Drosophila melanogaster: one gene and its partner. The protein of the gene in region 2 interacts with the protein of the main gene of each other region in a pairwise test. Each region holds a gene or a part of one and is shown on either strand. Other genes may lie near its edges. The genes, in order: wat and CG13603.

Evidence for each region.
Region 1: the proteins of CG13603 (region 2) and wat interact in a two-hybrid assay, tested with the Drosophila melanogaster proteins (one large-scale study listed by BioGRID).

The regions. Positions count from the first base shown.
Region 1 is NT_033777.3:29,017,307-29,022,267, forward strand, and holds the start of wat (waterproof), read right to left. Parts: upstream 3,101-4,961; 5' UTR 2,717-3,100; intron 1-2,716. UniProt on the Drosophila melanogaster protein: Catalyzes the reduction of saturated fatty acyl-CoA to fatty alcohols. The preferred substrates are C24:0 and C26:0. Necessary for the final stages of tracheal maturation, to facilitate the transition from water-filled to gas-filled tubes.
Region 2 is NT_033777.3:23,984,527-23,988,421, forward strand, and holds CG13603 (uncharacterized protein), read right to left. Parts: upstream 2,044-3,895; 5' UTR 1,960-2,043; coding exon 1,850-1,959; intron 1,784-1,849; coding exon 1,640-1,783; intron 1,574-1,639; coding exon 1,330-1,573; intron 1,151-1,329; coding exon 947-1,150; 3' UTR 687-946; downstream 1-686. Other genes in the region: CG5902 (uncharacterized protein), read left to right, coding at 2,902-3,633.

The DNA of each region.
Region 1 (4,961 bases), 5.0 Mb from region 2:
CATACCTTTATTTAGGAACGTTGCCACTTGGCAGCTTGAAAAATGTGCAGATACCGGAGGCACAGATGCAGATACAATGCAAACATTACTCAGCCGCATTGCTCGGCTACTAAACAATTTAAATGAAGATGTTCCCAATTGGATTCATGGTCAGGCGGCCGATGAGTTATTTATGCATACTTAAACACGCCTGGAAAATGCAAGGCGAAGAGCGCCTTCGGATATCTTGGCCATTTGGACACTTGGCCGTTTGGCTGTTTGGCTGCTAATTCGCAGCAGAAGCAATATTCGCACATTTATCGATTGCAAATCAATTTCGTGCAATTGCACATCTCACGTAATGTCGGCCCCTCTTGGCCAGGTCGAAACGCAGTGGCTCTGGCTCTGGATTTGGCTTTGGACTTCGATTTGGATTCGGAATCGGCTTGGGCTTGGGCTTTAACTGGCTGCAATGCATCGCTGCCGGATTACCCCTCGATTAATGCTGCTTGCATACAAATTGGCGCATTTACGTTCGCCTTCACCTGCTATATGGGAATCTCGGGGGGTCTTCCCTATCCACAAGATACAGATACAGATACAGATACAGATACAGATACAGATAGAGGTGCAGATACAGATATAGATACAGACACGCGCCTGCACTCGTTAGCCAGAAGCCTGAAGCCTGAGGCGTTTGCCTTCCTTTTGGCATTCGGCAGGCAGTTGGCCAAATTGCATAAACAAAATCGCGCAGCGAAATGAAAAGTGCGCCAAGTGCGAAATATAAATTACACCGCGAGCATTCGCATGCAAATTCCGATTCGGATTTCAATTCGAAAACATTGTCGCACGTTGAAAGTGGTAAGTGGCAAGTGGCAAGTGTCTTTCGGTGCAATCCTAATCAGCATGACTGGCCCAGTGCCAGTCACACTGCAAATCCCATCGCATCCCATCCCAGTTATCCCATTCCATTCCCTGGGTGCTGGATAGAAATGGCAACGAGGCGAGGTGACAACATAAGCAGACTTTTCGCGGGATTTGTCAAATATTTGCGCAACGCTGCGCTTATCCATCCAAAAAAAAGAAAAGCACTAAATCTCTGGAAAGGGAGATCCAAAACTGCAGCACCGAGTCCCAAAAACCCAGGAACCCAAAAAAAAACCCCCTACCCCGCTTGCCCACTTTTTTGTGTGCGCTTTCACGCCTCTTGGAAGGCGGGCAAACTTTTATTATTATTTCATTTTTTTTATGTTCGCCGCGCCTCGCAAGTTCAAAAAGTTTAATGCTATTTGACTTTGATTCAATGTTTGCATTGTGCCCGGGCACATCATCGATTATTTTCCACTTGACGCCCCACCACGTCAGCCCACTGAACATGGAACATGGAACACCAGAGCCACCAGAGCCATCCGCCCACGGATCCCGAAGCGAACTCCCAACGAATCCCCATCCGCATCCGAACTGGAATACCAGTTGTTTGTGGTGGACAAATGAAATATGTTTGGCCGCATCAAAAAGCCCTGGCACTGAAAATTGATAAATTGCGAATTAATTGAATCGCTATGACATGAAGTTTAGCACTATTTTCTCGTCTCGCCTCAATTAAAGAGTTGGCTGGGTTTTTCCTGCACAGATACTTAGATACTTTAATTGCATCCTTGAGGCCCATTTAATTGTGGCACACAAATCGATTTTTTAAACTCTGTTTCATTTCAGCACGATATGATGATATTCTCATGCATATTTCATTGAATGCATTTCATTGCCATTTAAATTTGGCCAACGAAAGTATTTGTTGTATAAAGGGCTTGGGGGCGTCCACTCTTTAAATTCTTTATGAACTTTAATTTCCAAATTACATCGCTTAATTGAGTTCGGATTTTAAATGGCTTGTAAAGCTGAGGCAAATTGCACATTTCTGCGCAGCTGAAATATGATTTACGTAATATAATAATATTTAATGCAACACATTTTTATTGCGACATTTCACTGAAATGCGTATCTTCTAAATATTTAAAATCCTCTTCTGGCCTTTTAGTCTCTTTTACAAAAGGTATGTATATTTTTGTATATTTTTGAGCATCAAGTAATTTCTTTTATAGCCAGCACAGAACAATTAGTCACGGATTTGTAAAACCAAATGTCACAGATAATATTATTTATTCTGCCAAATTAGTGAGCTGCTAAGTGGGAATTTAAATATTGATCGAACTGCTCTTGATCCAGTAATGAATGTTTTTCCCAATCTAATCAATTATTTTTTGGGTTTGGCCATATATAAAATACGAATGAATGCAAACTTGTTTGAAATACACAAAGACCACGGGAGTAATATAATAATCCAACTGGCGATTATCGATTCTTTGGCAGCCGTAACTCTTTTGCCATTGCAATGGCAAAACAATGAGTTATTTCCCAATTGCCGAGTGGGTTTGTTTGTGTATTAAATTTGGGAAATTCAATGAAATTTCACACATTTTTTCGTGAATGCCTGTGTGCTGGCAATTGGCTATGAGCTCTTCGTCGGCCCCTCCTGCACCTGCGGAGCGAATCCAACCCGTTTTGGGTATTTGGGTATATGGGTATTTTTTTTAGAAAGCCATCAACGCCAGCTACATTACCACCACCACTACCTACAGTGCCTAGCATATACGTAATGGCATATGTCATACGATTACCAGGTATACGGATAGCAGAGCAGATTGTCTATAATCCCATGTAATTCAAGACTCACCGATTTGCTGGCTGCACAGGCACAGATCCCACGGCCACGGATTGGATTGGAGTGGCTTTCCGCAAATTGCTGGCTAATTGGAGGGCTCGTGGATCTGCCAAAACGAATCTTGCTCGCTGGCATACAGGGATATATCTCTTGGTTTTCTATCTTTTTCAGTTGCCACTTTCGAAATATATAAAAATTCTCTAACCAAACGCGCTTTACAACTGCAGCACGCGCTGTTGCACAAGAGTAGCGAAAAGAGCGATGCCAAATTGGTTGCAACAGGTGGAAAAACTGGGAGCGCACCGCGATCCGAACCGAATCGGTTTTGTATATCCAGCGAATTGAGTCCCGAGTTTGAAAACTAACTTTTGAAGTCGATGCGAGCGTTACGCGTTCCAGAACCGCGCTGCCAGGCAGACGAAAACAGACTCAGCTCGATTGAGGCTCGCAAAAACCACAACACCTGACGGCGGCTTCTCAGTCCGTGGATCGGCGCCGTTCAGCGGCTCGATGGTGGTGCGCTTGGCATCTCAGCGGCTCAGCGGTTTGGTGGCTCAGCGGCTCAGCGCCTCAGCGACGGTGGCGTCGACTGCGACGGCGACTGCGGCGTTTTGTGGGCGGTAAGCCAAACTTAAAAAAAAAATCAAGTCAAATTGAGTGGCGCAGTTTGGACTGGCGATTGAAGTGTACACATGTACATAGTCGTACTAACTTGCCGCACCTGAGCATCGCTTTCGGACACTGCCAGTGTTATGATCCAATTTTATGGAGCCTCGTAAAGCCGAAGCATTTGAGATATATTTGCGGTATATGTACATCGGACTTCACTTAAGCGCTGGTCACTTGGGTTAAAATAGCGCCGGTTACTTAGCTTACAGCTTGCCATTCATCCTATTAAATGGAGCATTTTGAAGGTTCCAAAGCATCTTTAATAAACAATTAACAAAACGTGCTGGTAATCAAAGATTACGCCAGTATCTTTTACAATTGCCTTATTCAGTTGAGTTTCAAAATTGAATATTCCCATACCCAATGTATACTAGTAGTTATCATTCCAACGAAGATGACGAATACTCAAAATATTAGCAAAGATTTCGAGATGAACTGTAAATATTACTCATACGCAGCGTGTACATATATCATATATTATGAGGCTCCATATAATTGAATACATAGCGATTGAATTTTCGGATTATCATTATGATTGTTAAGAAGTGCAAAATGATTAACCGAAAATGTATTGGATTACTTTGCATTATATGTATGTTCTTTTATCTTGTATAAAAAATTCCGTTGTTAATTAAGTGATGATAGCATATGATTATCATGCTGACCCCAAGTTGTGTCTGGTAAATAAAGTGATTACTAGATGAGATCTCTGAAACCGTGCTGGCTAATTAAAGACATTCGGCGAACCTGGACCCTGTCTTTATAGTTTGATCTGTCTGACAGGGCTGAACCCACACGGACCTCCGGCTCAGCTGACTCATCCTCGAGTGCAGTGCACATCCGCTCCATCCCTATACGAATCCCAATCGAAAACCCAGCCCAATTGGTATTCCTGCTCCGTTCGCCCGGAGACGTCGTTCGACGTAGTTCGCTCATAAATTTTGCATTTGCTGTGTGATTTTCCTTTTTAGACGCGACAAGATTTCACTGATTTCGCATATATCCCAGCATTTATAATATATTCGCCTGGGCCGAGTATTCTAAGTCGAGTTCAGTACTGTTCAGCTGTTCGGCTGGTAATCGCAGTGCCGCCATCAATCACGTAGTTCCCAGCATGTTTTGTCGCCGATCCCATCTGTATCTGTATCTTGACGCAGTATCTTCTCACACCAGAGCCAAGCTCAAAGAGTCTATAAACTCGAATATCTCTCGCACAAACGCTGTACGAAAACGAAACAAAAGGCCCATTAATGACAAATGCGAAATAACGAAATTAAAATAATAATATTCGCGATCAAGACACTGCATATTAATGGTGGCCCCATCAAAAGACACTCAAGTGCACACTTTTCAGGTATGATCCGATCTTGTTCAGCTCTGTTCAAACACTTGACAATGACATGATTCGCTTTTGATGTATAATTACTTCACTTTCGAGGTACAACGGCCTGCAGATTGTTTGATGCCTTTATTTATGCTGTGTAATTGCTTTGAAATGCCTCTTTACTTATGCAGATTTCGGGGCTCCATTATATAAAAAGTTACGATTTGTAGGCGGACAGTTTGCAATGAGCAAATAGGGCAACAT
Region 2 (3,895 bases):
GCTATTCAAAGAAATCCAAAACATGATTACCCATAAAACAAAAAAAAACGCAAAAACTAAAAATACTAATTATAGTACATACATTGATGTAGTGTTAATTGTAAGATCCCAGGAAATTGTTTCATGAATGCCAGAAAACAGAAAAACAGAATACCGATACCAAACTCCAAGCAGTCGTAGATGCAGATACAGTATCGATGAGATTCAGCTGCAAAGCCCGTAAATGTACAAGTAACTATTTTTCTCTATACCAAAAGTAAATCTCCACCATTTTTGCTCCACATTTAAGAAACAAACTCGGTGCAGGCAAAGATTGAATTTAGACGCAAAAATACAGCGATCAGGGGCTAAATGCCGTGCGATCAAGAAATTTTTAATTGAATTGTAACAGACTACGCAAGCAAATACGGAATTTAATATTAAATGTACAATAGCGTCGCTTTAAAGTCTATAAGAACATTTTGTTGCAATGCAAACGTGAAATCCAAACCCAAATCCGTTTGACATTACGACAGATTCGAATGACATCAACAACAAGAAAACACACACAACACAGAAGATAACTGCAAAATAAATGTAACTGACATAACATGTTGCATTGATTGTTTCATTTCGAATGCTTGGGATTGTTGGGGATGATCCGCAATACGTAAGTATCTTTATAAATGAATGATTTCAGAAATATTAATAATTTGGTTTTACTATATTTGTAACATGGAATAATTAATTAAATACATATATATATATATACATTACATATCACGTATGTTGGCTTAATACATAGGGCTAATATCTCTAGTTTCCTTCACTACAAAGATAATGTGTGTTGCCGGTTGTCTGCCTCAATGATAAGGACGAGGACGAAATGACATACAATGATTATAACGCACATGATGAGAAATACGTAGAGAATTACAAACTGCTGCTGATTGATCACAAACGTCAACTATTTGTTCTGTTCCGTGTCGGAGGATGCGTTCGAAACGATCGGCGGGGTCGACCTGCCGTCGTACTGCTGCTGATTCACCAACCGCTGTCGCTCCAAGTACATGGAAACCTTGATGTTGCGCACCTGGTGGTTGTCGATCAGTTTCAGAAGGGCGATGACGGCGATGCCAACGGAAATTGCGAATGAACCCCATGCGCCAAACTGTAACAAAAATCAATAGAAGTGGTTAAAAGAGTTTATTAACTTAATTTCGCATGCACAACTGAATATTTGGTTTTACATAAAAATATAAAATATTACGTATACGTAATCAAACATTCAGAATTGCCACAGAAAGCAAAAAAAAAATAGATGAGAATTTTTTTTTTGTATCATCTTACCTGAGTGGTTCCCATTTCAATGTAAAATCCGGAGGTGTTAATTTTTTCCGTGTCGCCGTGGATAATGTTCTGACCGGCGGAAATGGCACAGGATGGGAATCTCTCGGTCATGGAATCGCACCAGACAATAAAGCCCAGGGTAATGAAAATAGCCGACAAAATGGACATAGCCAGCATCCAAATGCCCAGAACGACGTCAATGAACAGAGCTATAAACGAGGCCTCCTCCTTCATGCGGGCGTATCTATTTGGCAAAGAAATTCACTTTCTAGATGTCAAAAACCCCGAATAATACCCACAAGATACATACCTATAAATCTGCACCACCGAAATAATTAGCAGGAAGAACCCGGTAATCAGGGGAAAGTTGCAGAAGCCATTGGAAGCCCACTGGACATCGAACATGCCGTCCTCCTCCCGCCATTTGCCAGTTGTAAAGAGCAGGCAGTGGCCACTGTGGGAAAATAGAATAAAGAAACTCAATAATTTACAGGGGACCAAAGAGGAACTGCGCACTTACCAGAATTGGTCGAGGTTTATAAACAATGGCACGACGATGCACAGCGACAGGATAAACAGGATGACATGGCCAGCTATCTGGCTTAGCTGCAGCACGTTGGCCAAAGCCATTTTGCTTTTGATTTCAACAAAAACAAATGAAACTCCACAATATTCAGACAAACACGGCAATGCACTTTTGGTGTTATCGATAAGCAGTGTTGGACAGCACCCTGCAGCTGCCTGCATTGGTATGCGCAATTATCGATATATACACCCTGGGGCCATCATTCTCGTTAAGCCATCTCTAGTTCGCCACTGAACTCGTAAAAAAGTGTAAAATTTGTTTACATTGAAAAAAGGTAAAATATTGTTCTTGAGGGCTACCTACGGTGCTCCCTGGCTCCTAGATGGGTCAGCCAAGACAAAGGGCCGTGTGCATGTGTGGCGCGTAGCCCTTTATAAGTGCGGGGGGTGGGGGGAACAGCCAGGGCGAACAAAGAGCAATTAATGCAATAGGAGGAGGGGGGCTTTCTCCTCCGATTTTCCCCACTTCCCCGAATTTTCCAATAGAGGCTGTTGTGAAACCTAAGGTGAAGATCGCTCGGGCGAATTAACATGGAAATCCATTTAAGAGCACCCTCCTCTATTGTCTATCTCGCACACGACCTTTTGCAGACGCATCAGCGGATCAGCGGACGCAATTCAATGAGGTGCTTATGAGCTAACTAGCAGCAGGACGGCAGCCAAGGAACACGGGGACGAGGTCTGGATCAGTTAGCAGGGAGCCAGGAATCACAGGCTAGAGGTCAGCGCAAACTGGAGGGCAGCAGGTGACCTAGTTTACGCAGTAGCAGGTAAGCCAAGGCCTTGGAATTCGAGACCAGCATTAAACACCACCACCGATTTTCAGAAGACGATTAGAGGACTGGCGGCAGCGTTTCTGTGGCAACTCCTACTGGGGCTGTTCTGTTGTGTTAATTGAACTTAGAGCATCAACGTGCACTGCCATTAGTTGTAACCTCAATATACCTACCTAACGTAATTAGTGAACCAGTTCTGACACAGAACAGCATGTCCAACTCCCACTACAACAACTACCAGCAGCAGCAGCCGCACTCCAGCAACGGAGATCCGGAATACCAGCACCAGCAGATGGTGCACCAGCCGCAACGGTTCTCCAACGGCCATGGCATGAAGACCGTCGCTGTGCCAGACATGTGCCTGTTCTGCTTCGAGGTGCTTGACTGTGAGCTGAACAACGTCGATGGTCCATCGGTGCCGGTGTTTAGCAACGACGCCTACCCACTCTTTGTCACCTGGAAGATTGGGCGTGACAAGAGGCTGCGTGGCTGCATTGGTACTTTTAGTGCAATGGAACTGCACCATGGTCTTCGGGAGTACGCCTTGACCAGCGCCTTTAAGGACTCTAGATTTGCACCTATCTCTAGAGATGAGTTGCCACGGCTAACTGTCTCGGTCTCGATTCTGCAGAACTTCGAGGAGGCTCAGGGCCACCTGGACTGGCAACTGGGCGTCCATGGCATCCGCATCGAGTTCCTCACAGAACGCGGCTGCAAGCGCACAGCCACCTATTTGCCGCAGGTGGCCACCGAACAGGGCTGGGACCAGCTGCAGACCATTGACTCACTCCTACGGAAGGGCGGCTATCGGGCTGCCATAACTCCGGAGACGAGGAAGTCCATAAAGCTAACGCGCTACCGTTCGCAGGAGATCCAGATGCACTACAAGGAGTACCGCGAGTACCAGGAGCGTCGCGCCCAGTTCGGCAAGGTGCAGTGCTAACAATTGGACAGGACGGCGGCGAGGCGATGATCCTGGCTTAGGGCAGGCCTGATGGCCGTCGTCCTCCTGCTGCTGCTAGCTTTTGAGTTTGGCCCAGCTTGGCGGCCGCTCGCTTAATTCAAGTTATGAGTTATTATATCTCCAGCATCAATTTTAAGCCCTCAAAAATTCTCCAAAAACGCGCGTGAGATGAGCGTCTTTTACTAAATATACCATTTAATGCTTCAAATACTTAAGCGGCAGATCCGTAAGCAATTTCGAA